2 linked regions of the Struthio camelus genome follow. The main gene of each other region encodes a partner of the protein of the gene in region 2 in a complex. Links are inferred from orthologs where the notes say so. Each region holds a gene or a part of one and is shown on either strand. Other genes may lie near its edges.

What was found. The genes of interacting proteins can lie anywhere in the genome.
Region 1: the proteins of MPP1 (region 2) and GYPC are in contact, whole or in part, in an NMR structure (PDB 2EJY), measured with the Homo sapiens proteins. The link is inferred for Struthio camelus from reciprocal best matches to the Homo sapiens genes MPP1 and GYPC. Residues at the interface, in NP_002427.1 of Homo sapiens: Pro81, Met82, Gly83, Ile84, Leu86, Lys87, Leu88, Leu100, Val130, Gln134; in NP_002092.1 of Homo sapiens: Arg123, Lys124, Glu125, Tyr126, Ile128.

The regions. Positions count from the first base shown.
Region 1 is NC_090947.1:30,402,980-30,410,841, forward strand, and holds the start of GYPC (glycophorin-C), read right to left. Parts: upstream 3,001-7,862; 5' UTR 2,847-3,000; intron 2,757-2,846; 5' UTR 2,605-2,756; coding exon 2,571-2,604; intron 1-2,570. UniProt on the Homo sapiens protein: This protein is a minor sialoglycoprotein in human erythrocyte membranes. The blood group Gerbich antigens and receptors for Plasmodium falciparum merozoites are most likely located within the extracellular domain.
Region 2 is NC_090952.1:25,945,193-25,952,586, reverse strand, and holds the start of MPP1 (55 kDa erythrocyte membrane protein), read right to left. Parts: upstream 3,015-7,394; 5' UTR 2,885-3,014; coding exon 2,783-2,884; intron 1-2,782. UniProt on the Homo sapiens protein: Essential regulator of neutrophil polarity. Regulates neutrophil polarization by regulating AKT1 phosphorylation through a mechanism that is independent of PIK3CG activity.

The DNA of each region.
Region 1 (7,862 bases), on a different chromosome or scaffold from region 2:
GCACATGGCCTCACACAGGCAGGCTGACTTACTGACTAGCCTGCCTCTCTATTGAGGCAATGACTGGAACAGGATATCTGAGCTGGGCATGGGAATTGCCTGAGGCTAGATGGTGTGGCACCCCCATAGAGGCAAAATACCTTTGCAAGGTTCACAGACATGAACGTTTCAAATCTGAAATGGTAGTCTTTCTATTCTGCTATCACCTGGGTTGTCAGGATCATACTGTATTTACAGAATGAATAAAAATCCCTTATCAGCTGTGAGTGAATACAAGAAGATAAGAAAAGAACAGGAGCAATTAGGTAACTTAACTCTGTTCTGTTTATATCAGTAGGCAGCTGCTCTGTGGTCTCACCTGCAGGTAACCAGCAAAGAATTAATATGTTCCATATGGTCAAAGGCTTCGGTGACACTTCAGGCATTTTCACACCCATTTCAAAGATTTTGACTGTGGTTATGAACAAATTTATTTTTTCCAAAATACTCTCGTTCTCTGCCAAACATCTGCTGTCCATGCTCTGCAGTGCCTGTCAATATACTGATCGTTTAGTATCTTCTCACTCACCAAAATTACTGAAATTTTACTACAAAATGAGACTCTTCCCCAAACTCTACCCTGAAAACCTCAACTGTTACAAAAACAATGCACCAAACTTGCACTATGTGGGCATATAGTATTATCAGACTTGCCTTTAACTTAATTTTGTTCTTGATCTGTAAATTTGATCTATGTGATTCAAAAAACAAAGAGATGCAGACTGAAACAAGATACAGGAACATCCTGTCTGAAACAGTACGGGAAATTATGAGAGCAAGCAGAGAATAGACAGTTAATCAGAATTTTAGCTAGATTGCAAACCACTTATTTTTACTGGCAATCATATGAGCTTTAAATGGTTCAAGCTCAGAATTTCTGCCCAGGTTTTGGATATTATAAGAAAATCTGACTCATCGGCTGTTCTACATTCTGAACAAAGATAAAAATCTACAGTGATATTCTCCTATAAGAAGTAACACTTCACCTAGATACACCTTAGGGCCTTCTTTGGGGTTCTCTGACAGTTTGAGTCTATCTGAGAGGTGTAATGTACTGAGGACTGTTTAGCCAGTCCTGAACTCTTCAGCTGGCCAAAGCTGTCACTAAAGGATGCAAGCATGGGTCTGGGCCCTTGCTAATATCGCCCAGTGAGCAAAATGCACCCCGATGGGTCACTACCACCCTCCTGCACACACACTTTCAGAGGACCAATGGCAGTAATTTACACCTCTAAACCCTACCTCTCGGAATCCTGAACTACCCTGGATGTTTCTTTTCTGCTAATAATAGAAAATAAGCTTTAATCTGTTAAACTGCTGAATAAAACAAAACAAAATAAGAGATAAAGCTAGCATCTAATTTTTCAGGTTTGTTTGAATTTGCAAAAAAGACCAAAGGGACATTAGAAATTGCTGGCCAGAACTGCAGAGATCCTGTTCACTGTGCCACTTCTCCTGCATCAGCCTGTCTCCTTCAAAGCTTGGAAAATATTGTCAGTGTCAACGTCCAAACAGACCAAATATTCTTATAGCAATCATTGGATCAAAACTTGAACCACAGGCAGCTCCCAGCAATCCTGTCTGTACTTTCTGCCTTCACTGCTGATACCATGGTATGATAAACAACTCTGCCATTGGGAGTTTGTTTACTAAAACTACTATCTCTGAATTAGAACAGGAAAGATTATATACCCAAGTCATAAAATAGATATGGAGCCACATCCTGCTATTGCAGCACTGCAAACCCAGAGTTTTCCCATCGAATTTTCTCAGGTTATCAAGTCAGAATCCATCCCCTTCCTCTGCCCTTTCTTTTTATGACTATACCAAAATGAATACTACCGTGGCACAGCTAAGTGTGATCACTTGAACTGTTCAGGCCAAATTCTCTCTTTCCAAATTTATTGAAATATGCGGAGTTACGCCAACACAGGACTTGCCCTCCTGTACCCTTTCTTGCTGAGAAACTAATTTGCTTGTCCTTAAACCTACGTTTCCAAATTTCCAGGAGCAGAAACGCTTTGTGACTTCTTTAAATATAGACTGTCAGTTTGTGGCTTGCGTCTCATATTACACACAGACAGCTCGAGACTCTGAACACAAGCTGGGCAGCACCATTAATAACTTAGAAAAGAGGTAGTAAGCTTTCGAAACGCTCTCCACTTTCATTCCTGAAGGCGGGGGGGGGGGGGGGGGGGCGGGGGGAGTAAGGCAAGGGAAGACATTTAAATGAAACTTTTTCTAAGCCAGGATTTAGACAGAAACGTTACCAATTTTGCTCTGTTGCAGTCAGGAGTCGGAGTTTGCACAGTCTGTTTCAGCTTTGCAAACACGCGCGCGCGCACACACAAGAATAAGAGAGGGTAACAGTTTCAAAACAACTTTTTTTCTTTAGGATAGGTTTCAGTACTTTTTTTCTTTCTCTTTTTTTTCTCTACTGCACATGAAACGCATTTGACAACCTTTTGCTTAAGCAACAAACTTGTAAATCCATTCTTACTGTAAAGGGGGGGGGGAATAAGGGTACTCACGTGGTGGAGATGTCGTATAGTTTTGGTAACTCATAATTTACGCCTTTGAAAAGTGCCTTATTTGTGCTGACAGTCTCTCTTCCCTGCTCAGAACTGACGGCGGGACTGAGCAGGACAGCTGGAAGAGCCCTGGAAAATGCTGCTCTTGTTCAGACTCTCCTTGCCGGGCTCCTGACCCCTTTACAACTGGAAAAGGAAACAGCACATGTGTCATTCTCTTTTGCCTGTGCAGCTCACATGAGCGGGGAGGGGCACTCATTTGCAGATAGCACTAACTGTTTTCAAGTTTTGCGAGCTGGATGTATTCCACCCCTTTGCTTTTACTAGCCAGCAACCAGTGGAAAGAAAATACTCTTTTCGCTCTCAGCCAAATCCAGATGCACCTCTCAGATCCACCTCCCAAGCCAGGACTCAGGACTGTTGATATTACTTCTTTTCAGTGCAAAGCGCAGCGCCGAGTAAGTCCCTCCCAAAAATGCTTGTCATCAGCAAAAAATGGATGAGCTCAAAAGTAGCGCTTTTAATTTTCATTGACCAGAAGCATCTGCAGCTCTAGCTAACCGATTCTGTCCTTTAACGGGTGTAAATTGAGAATGGCATTTACTGGGTCAGAGCTGTTATGCCAGTGTATAGCATGAATCTGAGCTGTGTTTAGAGAAAGGAAGCGCTTGTGGCCGAGGCACTGGCTGATATGCAGGTAACTCCAGTCCTGGCTTCCTGCAGCATCTCGGGCAAGGCATTTAATCTTTCTCTACCTCAGCTTGCCATCTGTAGAATAAAGATGATACGACTTCTTTCTTTCTAGTCTTGGTTTTTTTTTCTTTTTCTTTTAATTCTGCAAGCAAGCGTTGTTTGTACATAAGAAATATTTGTCGGGAGCTCAGGATGAGATAATTTATTCATATTCTTGGGCAAGCTTTTCAGCATGGACTGGGCTCCTGGCTTTGTTTGGAGCTCTCCGTTTTGCTATCTGTCGGGCTGTCTGCACGTTACGCCGCCATCAGCAGCGCGTAGCTGGAAGCGGGCCTACACTGTCAGTCTGCGGTTGACATGGGTTAGCACTTGTAGGTCCTACCAAAATACAAGTCATTCATAACAAGTACATCTCAGGGACTATGAAGAGTGGCCGAAGTTTTCCTTTTCCCAGTCTGAGGGAGCCGGGATGAATTAACCGGCTACCGGTGCTGCAGCAAAAACACCGCAGCCGCCGGGATGGAAGCGGAAAAAAACAGTCATGAAATTCAGGCCGAGGCTCATCCTGTTTTGCAAAAGCGTGGCAGGATATTTCTGTGAAATCATCCCAGTGACCTCCCGCAAGAAATCAGTGCCGTGGACTTGGTGCACGGTATTTATTTCCCGGCCCTGGGGTGGAAGGAGCGAGGCCTCACCTACCTGCCAGCGCCAAATGGCCGCCGGCTCCTGTGTGCAAGGGCAGCCAGGGCCCCCGCTCAGCACTTTCCCCGCTCCGGGCTCCCAGCCGCGAGCCCTGCACGAGGGAGCGACAGAGCAAAGCAAGGCACCACGCAGAGAGGGGGGAAAAAAAAACAAACATAGAAACTCCCGGTGTTGCTCCGCTGGCTTCAGTTCTGTAGGGCAACACTGATGTGCCGCAGAGTCGTGCTGAAGATGCCGACTGGGGATTTTTACCAGTCTCTTCCTGCCTGTGAAGCGCCAGGTGGGCGGCCGGGGTCGGGGCTTTCTGCCGCGGGCCGGGAGGAGCGCTGCCACGCGGCGTCATCGCCTCTACGTCTGTCGCCATCCTCCTCGCTGAGGACTTTTGGAGCTGCTGCGGAGGGGAGACTTCCCGGCCGGCCGTGGCCGAGCGGGAGGCCGAGGGTGGCGATCCCTCGCCGGCCGCCGCGGCGACGTGCGCCCCCAGCCACCCGCCGCCCCAGCGCTCTAGGGGCTCCCCAGAGGCCTTGGGGCGGACGAGTGAGGACGGCAGGCGCGCAGCCAGGTTTGGCCGCCCTCCGCCCTGCCGTTAGCTCCCGGCGCGTAACGCCGCTCTCTCCGTGTGAGGCGCAGACGGGCCCCCCCCCCCCCCGCCTTTTATCAACAGTGAATAAAACTTGAAGGTCAGGAGCCCACAGGTATGAGCGTGGAGGCCACAAAGAAACCTCACTGGAATAATTTAGTTGCCTCTGAGTAAGCGAGTTCTCACACAGGGCCTTGCCTAATGATGAAACCAGTCGTGAGGCCGCAGGCATGCAAATTTTAAGGTGAGGATACATTCCTTCGCCTAAAATCCTGCTTCTGTCCGAGCCCAGAGCAGCTGCCTTCTCGGCTGAGGTGGGCAGCTGAGCACCTGAGGACACTTGAACTAGATAGCCTCGGTCTTAGGGTTTTCCAGGGGGTTTATCTGGCAAGGATGCTCTGTTCACACAAATATACACAGCCTAAGGTCAGAAAGCAAATCTAGGGTGAAAACAAACTGTTTATTTAAGAAATGGCTGTTGCGTGAAATGTCTCCTGCCTACTTGCTAGGATACTTACTGTGGTTACAAGACTTCCTAAACGGAGAAGCTTCAAATCCGTGCTTAGGTGAGGATCTTCCACGCTAAAGAAAAGGCTGGGGGGGCAAGTAGCAGTCGTCCTCTGAAATGGGGTCACCATGCAGCAAGTATCCTCTCCTGCAAGACTTAGAGAGCCACAGAGGCTTAGCAGGAGGCATGTGGTCCTGCTGTCGGCAAGGAGGGCTGTCCTAAGCACCCTGGCTGTTAAAAATCCCCTTGTTTTGAGGGAGAGTGAAACACCAAAGTTTGTCTTGGCAACATTCAGCATCACAATAATTGTTTCTATTTCTGCACCTATCTATCTTCTTCGCTCTTCTGTAGGCCACTTTCCTAGCACTAAAATTAATGGGAGTGATGTACCCAAGGTTACATAAGAGGTTTAATGTTCTGGCAGAACAGAGCACAGACTGGAAAACCCCCTTTAACATCTTGGTATCTTCACTTTTCTTAAGACTTTTCTCCTTGCTTGTTCAGTAGTCTGAAAATCCTAAGAAGTTGGAGAACCTGGGACCCAAGTTTTTTACTTGCCCTCAAGGAGAGCATAAAAGAGACCCTCACTGACCTTGCCCACTCATCATTAATGGGAAATATGTGAAGTTTGAAAGGGAAGAGAGCATGTCTAGCTCCACACAGTTCAGAATGCTTCCTGAAGAGCCTGAGATGAGGGCACTAAACAAAGAGCAGTAAAGGGCCCTCTGCCTCCCCTTGACCCCTCATCCCACCACCCGGAGGGGAGCAGAGGCAGCAAAGGAACTGGGAGCGAAAGATAGGAGCAGGGAGGAACAAGAAATGTGATTAGTCATTAATTTCCAGCTTGTCTGAACTCTCTCCTAATCTCTAGATACAGCATTTGCAAAAACAAGAAAACAAAAAAGGCCGAATGGTGAAGGCAACAAGATGGTAGCTGAAACATTTTTTATCTATAGCCTATGGTATTTATACAGGTTCCTCCAGATTTGTGGGATAATGCAGGTATGCTGGGAAGTCTGTGTGTCAGCTTTGTGGCTTTCATCAGCCAATTACTTGGTCTTCTGGGGCCACTATGTCCCCATTAACCTACAGAAGAAGTATCAGTTTCCTGCCCTGGTGAATACTTTTGTATCTGCAGCCTTTGAAAGCTCAGAGTGCTTCACCGAGCAAGGAAACCAAAATTCTCTTTTTTTTTCCGCTAATGCTTTCAGATGTGACAGTCCTTTCACGTATATAAGTGTTAGCTTGAAAGTAGGATGTCTTTTGCCTCTGATACTGCAACTCACCCTCCTCTTCTTAAACATAGCCATGGAATGAATTCGTAGTCAGGCCCACATGGCTGTTCTTTTTGATACCATCTTGCTCCAAGGTAAATGACATTTCACAGTCTCTCAGGCTTGGCAAGCTGATGCTGTATGCTGCAGCTGTTATTCCCAACAGGAAGGGAGGGTTTAGGCTGCACTCGAAGGAAAATAAATAAATAAGCTGAAGTAAAAAGTCTCTATCCAGGAAGTTTTGCCTGACAACAATAGGAAATAGGACTAGAAATCGCTGTCTTTGCTGGATTTTAATGACAAGACATAATGCTAAATCTGTAGTCTCAGCCTACAAAAATCATGACAAGATTGAGACAGGCTGAGGGGAAAGTTCCCAGGAATATCTCACTGTCCACCCATCCCAGCCTCTGCTGTCCTCAGAGAGGATGTTTGTATCCACCACATGGACCTTTGAGGAGAAAGAGATGCAGCTTCAGCATTGCTTCACCTGAGGAGCCACTCAGAGTGTAACAGTTGTTGAAGTGGTTCTGATGATTCTTCCCCAACTGCGAGTTCAAGATGCCCCTCATGCCTCTACCAAAGGCTATGCTTGTGTAGGCCAGCTGTGCGTCCCATCTGGTCCATGTGCTGCGGTCACCAAAGGCTGCTGGCAAGCGTGATGGTGATGGTGTCAGCTTTCTCGTGTACTGTGCTGGCTATACACGGTAGGGTGTCTCAAGCACCCTTGACTGGTGAACATTGTGCAGCTGGGGTGGTTCCCAAATGTTGAAGACTTACTGCAGGTCAAGGAGAGCTACGGTTGTGGTGTAGCAGGAGCTATGCTGAATCACGAATGAAGGATCCTTCATACGAGAGATGTTTCAGGAAAGCACTTGGCTCTGCATACCCTGTGAAGCACCATTTCCTACTGATTACCTTCCCCCATCCCTGGAAGGAACAGTAGTCTATTTATGCGTTACCTCATATTGTAGGATCTTCCCTTTGACTTCAGCAGTTTTGTTTCCTTCCCGTTTCCCAGTCATTTTTGTGCTAGGAGGGTGGGTGGTATTGGCCATAGACTCCTGATCCCCTGAGTAGGCCAAACTCAGTTCTGATGTAATGTCACAGGGGATGAAACCTCTGCGACCACGCAAAAGGATCAAAGTGGGTCTATTTCCCAGGACGGACTATGGTGCAAGCATAATCCATGTTTTATGGGATACCTAAGCTGCCGGTGACTGTAAATGCAACTAGGTTGTGAAATCCTTCGGGCACAGAACAGGATTCTCCCTCTGCAGTCATAACCATAATTGTTACTGAGTAAGCCCTTGACCCTCACATAAGGCCAATATAGAAGGATTTACTCTGGAGACAGGAAATCAGCTGGCCTTCCTATTTTGCATCTCAGGCATACAACTTTCTTTTTACCGCCCTCTGATTTCTACTTGAACCTTCAGGATTTATTCCTATCCTTGGAGCACAACATACTCCCTACTTTGCAATGATTTTGCAGTTAAACATTTTAGTGTTTAGTGCACCCCCACTTAGGCTGT
Region 2 (7,394 bases):
TTAAAAAAAAAAAAAAAGCAAACTACCAAAAAGCAGAGCTTGAGTGTTGCTTTCTGGCCACTCCAGCAGGCTGGGGAGCCACAGGCATGTGGACATCTAGAAGTCATTAATCACTGCCTCCCGCCTGAGGCTACTGCCTTCCCAGCTCTGCCAGGACCATCACCCGGTCGAGTATCGACTAACCTCTCCCAAGACCCCAGCAACATGGTCCAGGATTTAAAAAAAAAAAAAAAGGCATTTAAGCCAAACAGGATCGCATTGATTAAATTAGGATAAGAAACAGCTATGTGGACAGGTCAGACGGCGATGGACAGGTCAGGGGGAACGGCGAGACAGGAGGGAGCGGAGCGGCTGTGGGGGAAGGTGTCTGCGCCCGGCTCCCGCAGGCTCGGCTCCGCGTGTCCTTGCTCTGACTCCAGCTCACGCGGGGCTGAAATTGAGAAGGGGCAGGTTTTCGAGGGAGCTCAGTCAAGGTTTGCTGAGGTACCGTTTTCCTGCCAGGAAAGACTGATGCAGCCTTCCAGATGTGTTTGTGAAACCTGCCACCTCCGAGGCAGAGGCACTAAAACCGTCATACCCGAGGAAGAAATCTTCTGAGCGCCCCAGGGGCTCCATCCCCAGCCTCCCACAACCAGCCCTGCAAAATGGCTTTTTCCCTACTGCCGTTACACACTGGAACATCGCAAAACACATCCTAAGAAGGTGAAATCAGCCCTATCCCCTTCATTTTTGGTCAAAAACAAAAGTTTTGCTCAACGCCTAACTAGTTTTGCCCTTGGCCGTTTCGGAACACCACCGTGGCCGTCACTGAGAGGGCATCGACCGTGGGTATACCTGTGCCGTTATTAACGCTGGCCTCTTCTGCACGCTCTCTCTTCCCATGCCAGCACCTCCCTTTTCTCCCCTGGACTCCCAAAGGGCAGATTCGCTGCCCATTTTACAGCTGGGGGAACTGAGTCACGGCAGATAAGGTGACAGCCCAAGGTCACCCTGCAAACCAGGAGCAGAGCTAGGAATAAAGCCCACACCTCTTTGGCAAATCTGTATGTGCCAGCAGGGAGATAAGCGGAAAACATATGGTCGCGGGCTGGGGCTCAAGGGAAGAGGACAAGCGGCTTCCTCCGCTCCTGCTTGTTTTCTACTAGCAAAGCCACCACTGCCACTCACTTTGCGCGCTCCGTCCCCGTGGGAGGACTGCAGGACAGCGCTTCCCAGCACGTGGCTCTGCCGGGGAAAAGGGGAAGAGGAACCTCCCGCTGGCTCTGTCTGACTCAAGCGGCGGAGCAGCCGGCCAGACCCAGGACGTGTGACGTCCCTACAGCTGCGCAGGGCACCGCGGGCCCGGTCAGCGCCGTCTCTGCCTGCTTGCGACTCAGCCTGGCGAGTGCCCGACTGGGAAGCTCAGGACATATAACCCACCCCCCCCCCAAGTCCCCGACCTTCGTGAAAGGGGCATCCGCAGCATCCCCCCCCCACAGCCTGCTGATCACCCCGACACACCGCAGGCTTTCCCCTTCCCAGCTGCAGGACCCCCCCCCCCCCCCTCCAGTGGGGTGCCAGCCCTACGGCGCTCCTCTCAAAAGGTCTCACTGCAAGCCCAGGTCTTTTTTCTTTCTTTCTTTCTTTTTTTTAAGCCCTGTGTCAGGGTTGAGCCATAAAAAGCACACAAACCACCGGTGTGGGCCCGCTCTGAGCGAGCCTCTTTTGGATGCTTTGCTATCCAACAGGATGGGCCAAAGACAGCACTTCAGAGAAATTTCCTCCCTACTTTTGGAGGCCCCCCGCAGCAGCAAGGAAACCTCGGCGCAAGCCAGACGTGCTCATGCTGTGGCTCGGTCAGGGGCTTCTGCTCAGAGCCGAGCGTCTCTGCTGGGAGAAAACCGCTGGCTGCTCAGCACAGGGAACTGCTGACCTTCTCCCGCTTACGCTCAAGCAGCCCCAAGCAGCACTGGCTGGGGAAGGAGCCCTCCCAGCATGACAGAGACAGTGCAGCCTGCCCTTCTTCCACTGCAGACGGCGTGTGTCTGGCCCCCAGGCCCGCTGCCTGCCCGGGGAGCGTGTGAGAAGGGCTGGCTGCATCCTTTCCCGGGGCCGAGACCCTGCACCGCAACCCCTCCAGTCTACGCTGTGGACCTGCAGGTTGCTCAGCAGCCGAATCAGCTCATGTGACAGGCAGTTCCAGTCCAGACCAGCTACACAACTTTGCAGCAAAAACAAGCACAGCCTCCTCCGTGGCAGGATGCTAAAGCCTTCCTCCCCTCCAGCTCAGCTCCCTCTTCCCTGTCCGCGCAACGCTAGCCAAGCTGGCTAACCTTTCCTCTAAGGAGCCCCACGGCCCCGAGCAAGGAGACCTGCTGCCAGGGTGCCGCAGGGCCCAGCGGCGCCACGGAGGGGGCAGGCACCCACGTGTCCTCCTGCCTGCCGTGGGGTGGCTGCTTGATGTGGCCTTGCTCCCCGCTGCGGGGGCAGGAGGGACGGGACGGAGGGGGACACCCCAGGGGCCGGTGCGGGCCCTGGCCAGCCCCGGGTGCTGGGTGCGGGGCATCGCAGCAGGCAGGTGGGCAGGCTGGCCCGGGGAGGGGGGCAGCAGGGCAGGGGGCGCACAGGGCTCCATGCCCAGCCTGTTCGGGGGGTTCGTCCAGGGGGTCCCCCGGCCCCTGGCAGGAGCCAGCCAGCGCCAGCGGCAGAGCCCCCCCCCGCCCAGCACCGAGCACCGGCGCCGGGGCTGCCCGCGGCCGCGCTCGCAGGGGCCACCGCGCCGCTGGCCCCGGGCCCGGCTCACCTCGGGCTTGGCCCGGTTCTGCAGCAGGTGCTCCAGGTAGAGGTCGGAGAGCGCCGTCCGCATGCTGCCCACGCTGTCGCTGCGGCCCGACTTGAGGGTCATCCCGCCGCCACCGCGCCGCCACCGCGCCGCCAGCAGCCGCAGCCGGTTCCGCTGGCTCCAGCAGAGCGGCTCGGCCCCGGCCCCGCCGCCCGGCCCCAGACCCGGCTCCAGCCCCGGCCCCGGCTCCGCCGCCCGGCTCCAGCAGCGCCGCGGCCGCCCGCTCGCTCCGCCCGTCTCGGGGCGGGGGAGGCCGGGCGGGCGGGCGGGGCCGGCGGCGGGCAGGGCTCCCCCCGCCCCGGGCAGCGCTGCGGCACCGCACGGCCCGGCCCCGCTCGCTGCCGCTGCAGCCCCGCGCTGCCCCCGGCTCCTCCGGCGGCCCTCGGTGCCCGAGCCGCGGCGCCGGCCGAGCGGGGGGCTGAGCCTGGGAGCTGCCCCTCTCCCCAGCTCCCCGGGGCAGTTTGAGGTGGAGCGGACAGACCCCTCGGGTCCCGGCCGGCGGTGCCTCCGGGAGATGGAGGCCTCCCCCTCACCAGGACCCTGTTGGGACTCTCATTCGCATTATCTCAAGCAAACGTACTGCTTTTGCAAGCCAAGCCGTGTGTGCGGGAAAGGGATTCTTCCTCTCTCTCTTCCTCCCGCCCCATCTCAGACAGCCCCTTCCCACCATGCCAGAGGTTCTGCATTTCTCTCTGACTTCTGTCATGAGCTGACTTCTGTTTCAGTAAGTGGGCCGAAGAGCTTGGCACTGAGGGGAGGTTGCCAGAAGGCCAATCTGAGAAGGTATCGGTGCAGCAACCGTCCCCGCTCGGCTGCTTACAGCACCTGCCAGTCTGCAGGTTGGAAGCTGAGACTGGAAGAGTTGTGACAGAAATTAACTCCCCTCTGCAACGGACCGAGCCTGCCCCCAGCTAGGCTCCGTAGGAAACCTCAGGCTCAAGTTGAGCTGCCCCAAGCCAGAAGCTGCAGAAACTGGGGGCCTGCTGGGTGCCCTCAAAGGCTGCATGTGCTGGGTTGACGCTCGGAGAAGGAGATGTGTCCAGGCCCAGGAGGCTCCCCAGGACACCGACCCGTTTGGTGCATCAGTGGGATGGGCAGATCTGAGAGGAGAGGCGCTGTGCCAGCAGGGTGTTAACGCATGGAGTTAATGGAAGGCGCTAATTGATTTACAGTCGGTACCAGACCTGGTGCTAGCTGCGGGAGTGCTGAGTGAACGATACCAGGAGCGACAGCAGTACTGCTTCCCTCCTCCATGCCCCGTCCCCATCCATCCCGGTCCGCCCGCAGTGCTGAGCGCCCTGCCATCGCTCGGACATGGTGTCCCTGGTGTCCCAGGGTGGCACATCAGCACTGTCAAGTTCAATTTGGAGTTGCTTCAGAGCCCAAAAAGGAGTGTTTTCCCCCACAAAACAGGGTGGCCCCATCCCGTCCCTCCTGGGAACGGTCCCTGGCCTGTGCTGTCCCCTGAAAGCGCTCTTAGTCTGGCCCAAACCGCACCAGGGAGCGTGCCGGCAGCCGCTTGGCTGCCGATGGGCCACCTCTGGCCGGGCTGCACCCCTCACACCCCGCCACAAACTCACGCAAGGTCACCGCCACCAAAAATGCAGCTGGGGGCTGGATCTGAGAAAGGCTTTGGCCCCGCACGGGCACCGGAGAGGCCTGGCAGTGACGTGGGGCGCCTGTCCCAGAAGGCAGCATCTGCGTGCACGCGGTGCTGACACGCTGCCGGTCCTTCCCGAGCGCTGACGGCGTGCGGAGCGTGGGATGCTGACCGCCGGACTCGGGCTGCGGCCCGGGGATGTCGGTGCCCTGCAGCTGCTTGCCACGTCCTGGTCTCCTCGTACTATTCCAAGTTTTTCCATCCTCCGGGATATTCAGCATCCTATTGCACCCCCCCGCACCTGTGCTTTACGTGCTTATGGGGGGGCTTGCAAGTCGCTGCGTTCGTGACGTGCATAGGAAGGGCTGTTGCCAAGTGTTTTGTGGTCTTGGTATGAGTCATACTGACACTGGAGCTGGAGATAAAGTTTAAACCTTATCTGGGATTGGGAAAATTCATTCTTGGGGAGGGGGGAATATTCTCTTCTTTAAAACAGTCACTGAAAGGGAAAGGACAGTGGTTCTGCTTTCGGTCTTTCCACAACCTCTCTGGTACCTGGTGGTTTTGAGGAGGTTTTTTTGGGGCCGGACTCCATGAAGGCACCAGCCTTTTCTGTGCTGTAGCAACGCTACTCTCTCTCCGAGTTCCCCAGGTCTCCTCAGTCTAAAGCTATCCTAAGAGAGAAGGAGAAGGAGGGTGTAAGTCCCTGGAGGCAGGTAATAGGGAAGTAGGGGACTAAGAGGAGGAGAAAAAGTAAAGAAAGAAAATCTATCTCATTTTGATAGCAAGTTTCTCCTGCCTTGGGGGAATAAAACTGCTTCCGGCTGGGCTAGCTGAAGGCTCAGAGCACTGTGAGATGCGGGGAGGGAGGAAGAGGAGGTGCAGGGGCTGCACGTGCTGATGTGACCGGCGCCGAGGATGCCGGTGGCACTCCGCAGAGGAAGCGCAGCCCGGCAGGGAGCAAGAAGGGCGCTCCTCTGCAGCAAGGCACCCAGCCCTGCCCCTTGCAAGGGGGGGTTCAAAGACAGGAGAGAAGCTGTGGGTCTGCCCCCCGAACAGCCTGCCCCCCAAGCCCCTTCCCACAGGTCAGTGGGAGCCTATCAGCCCTGGCTGCCCCTCCTTGCCCTGGTGCATGCAGTGTATCTTTGTATACAAAAGGAGCCAGAAAAGCCACATATTGAGCAGAAGCCCCAATCTGGAACTTGGAGAAAGTTCTCATATGACCTCTGTGCTTTGGGGCCTTGATTTCCTTTCTTTTCTTTTTTTCTTTTTTTCTTTTTTTTTTCTATTTACTTTTGTCTATGGCTCATAGGCTGGGGACTAGCTTTCGATCAGCATCCTGCACTGTAAATCTCTTATTCCTCCTGCTGTGTCTTACGCCAGCGGCCAGAGGTGCTCGTCCTCACAGCCACAGCCTTGCTCGTGACGGGAGGGGGGGTTTCAGAGCTATGACCACGACAGCACAACCCAGAGAGCTAAAAGCCTGCCCCCAAAGGGAGGGACCACCAGACGGTGGGGGGCGCACACGTACGTGATGCAGCAGAGAAGGAGCAGGACCACCAGGGTGACGGGGAGGACGTACAGGACCGCCTCGGGGAAGTTCTCACGGAGGTGAGACCACAGGTCATCCAGGTAGTCTGCCAGCCAGGACCGGCGGACACCTGGGGAAGAGACGCGTCCTAGTGAACGTGAGGGAGGGATGGGAGAGGGGTGAGAGCCAGGCTCCAGGCTCCCCAGAGGCTCTTTGCGGCACAGGCAGCCGTCCAGGCTCTTGCTTCGAGGTGTTTCTGCTGGTGGCAGACCTGGGGATGTTCAATCCTGACTCAGATTTCACATGCCCGGTTCTGCCAAAATGAATCCCTCTGATCCCAGGGGCCTTTGGGATCTTGCGGCAGAACTCCCCATTGAGGAGAGCAGAGAAATACCATAAACACTCGTTCCTTTTTCTTGGATTTGAGAGTATTTTGAAGCAGGGTCAGAGCCTTCCTCTTGCCTGGGCTGCCTGTGCAGGGCCCACTGCATCTGGCTTCTCTGGCTACGCACACATGTGCCGCTGCCCTCGCCTGGGACACAGCAATGTGTCCCTCATGTAGGACTCTGGAGCCACTGTGACGAACCTCAGCCCTTAGAAGAAGTCAGTGCACTCCACGCAAACTGTGCGTGTGTGCACTACAGCCGGAGGAGGGAGCCCGCTCGTGCACCCATGTACACAGAGGACGAGAGGGTCATTTGGGGCAGCACGAGCAGCATGTCCCACGATCAGTGCCAGTCGGAGCTGCAGGGCGCCTCATCTGCTGCAGGCTAACGGTTGGCAGGGTGGACATGAAGCCCCCAGATCCCGTGGGGCAGTGTGCCTAGTGTCCATCTTCCAGGATGGAGAAGTTCATCCTTCCCGGGAAACTTCCCAGGAAACTTTGGCCCTGTGGGCTGCAAGTCCAGCAGCGGTCCCATCCCAGAACCCCCTGCAGGGCTGACCTCCCACCTCTCCTTCTCCTCCACAGCAAATAAGTCAAGTGGGTGAGGGTTAAGAGGCAGCCACTCTAAGAGGATCAGTTAAGAGGATCTGCCACTCAGCTGGCCGGAGGGGCAGTGGCTGCTGCCTGGGGCAGGCTCTCTCCACCAGCCCCTCTCCTGTGGCAGCTGCTGGGTACTTACGCCGGATCGGCTGGCTGGAGCTTTCTCTCTCTCCTGTGCCAAGAAGGGATTCAGGCCCTATCTCTGCGTGATCCAGAGGTCTCCGTGGGGCTGCTTCCCATCTGGCCCTCAGCTTTGCCCTGCCCATCTTGGAGGTGGCCTTGGGCTCGGAGGGACGGTGGGAGACCAAGGCAGCCAGCCCAAGGAGCAGAAGGGCAGCTCTCGGGACCATGGCTTCTTGTGGCCCAGTGATGACTCTGAGATGGGCCTCTGAGTGGCCCCGTCCTCGTCTGCAGGGATCCCTGGAAAGCCTGTAAAGTTGGATTACGGTAAGAAACA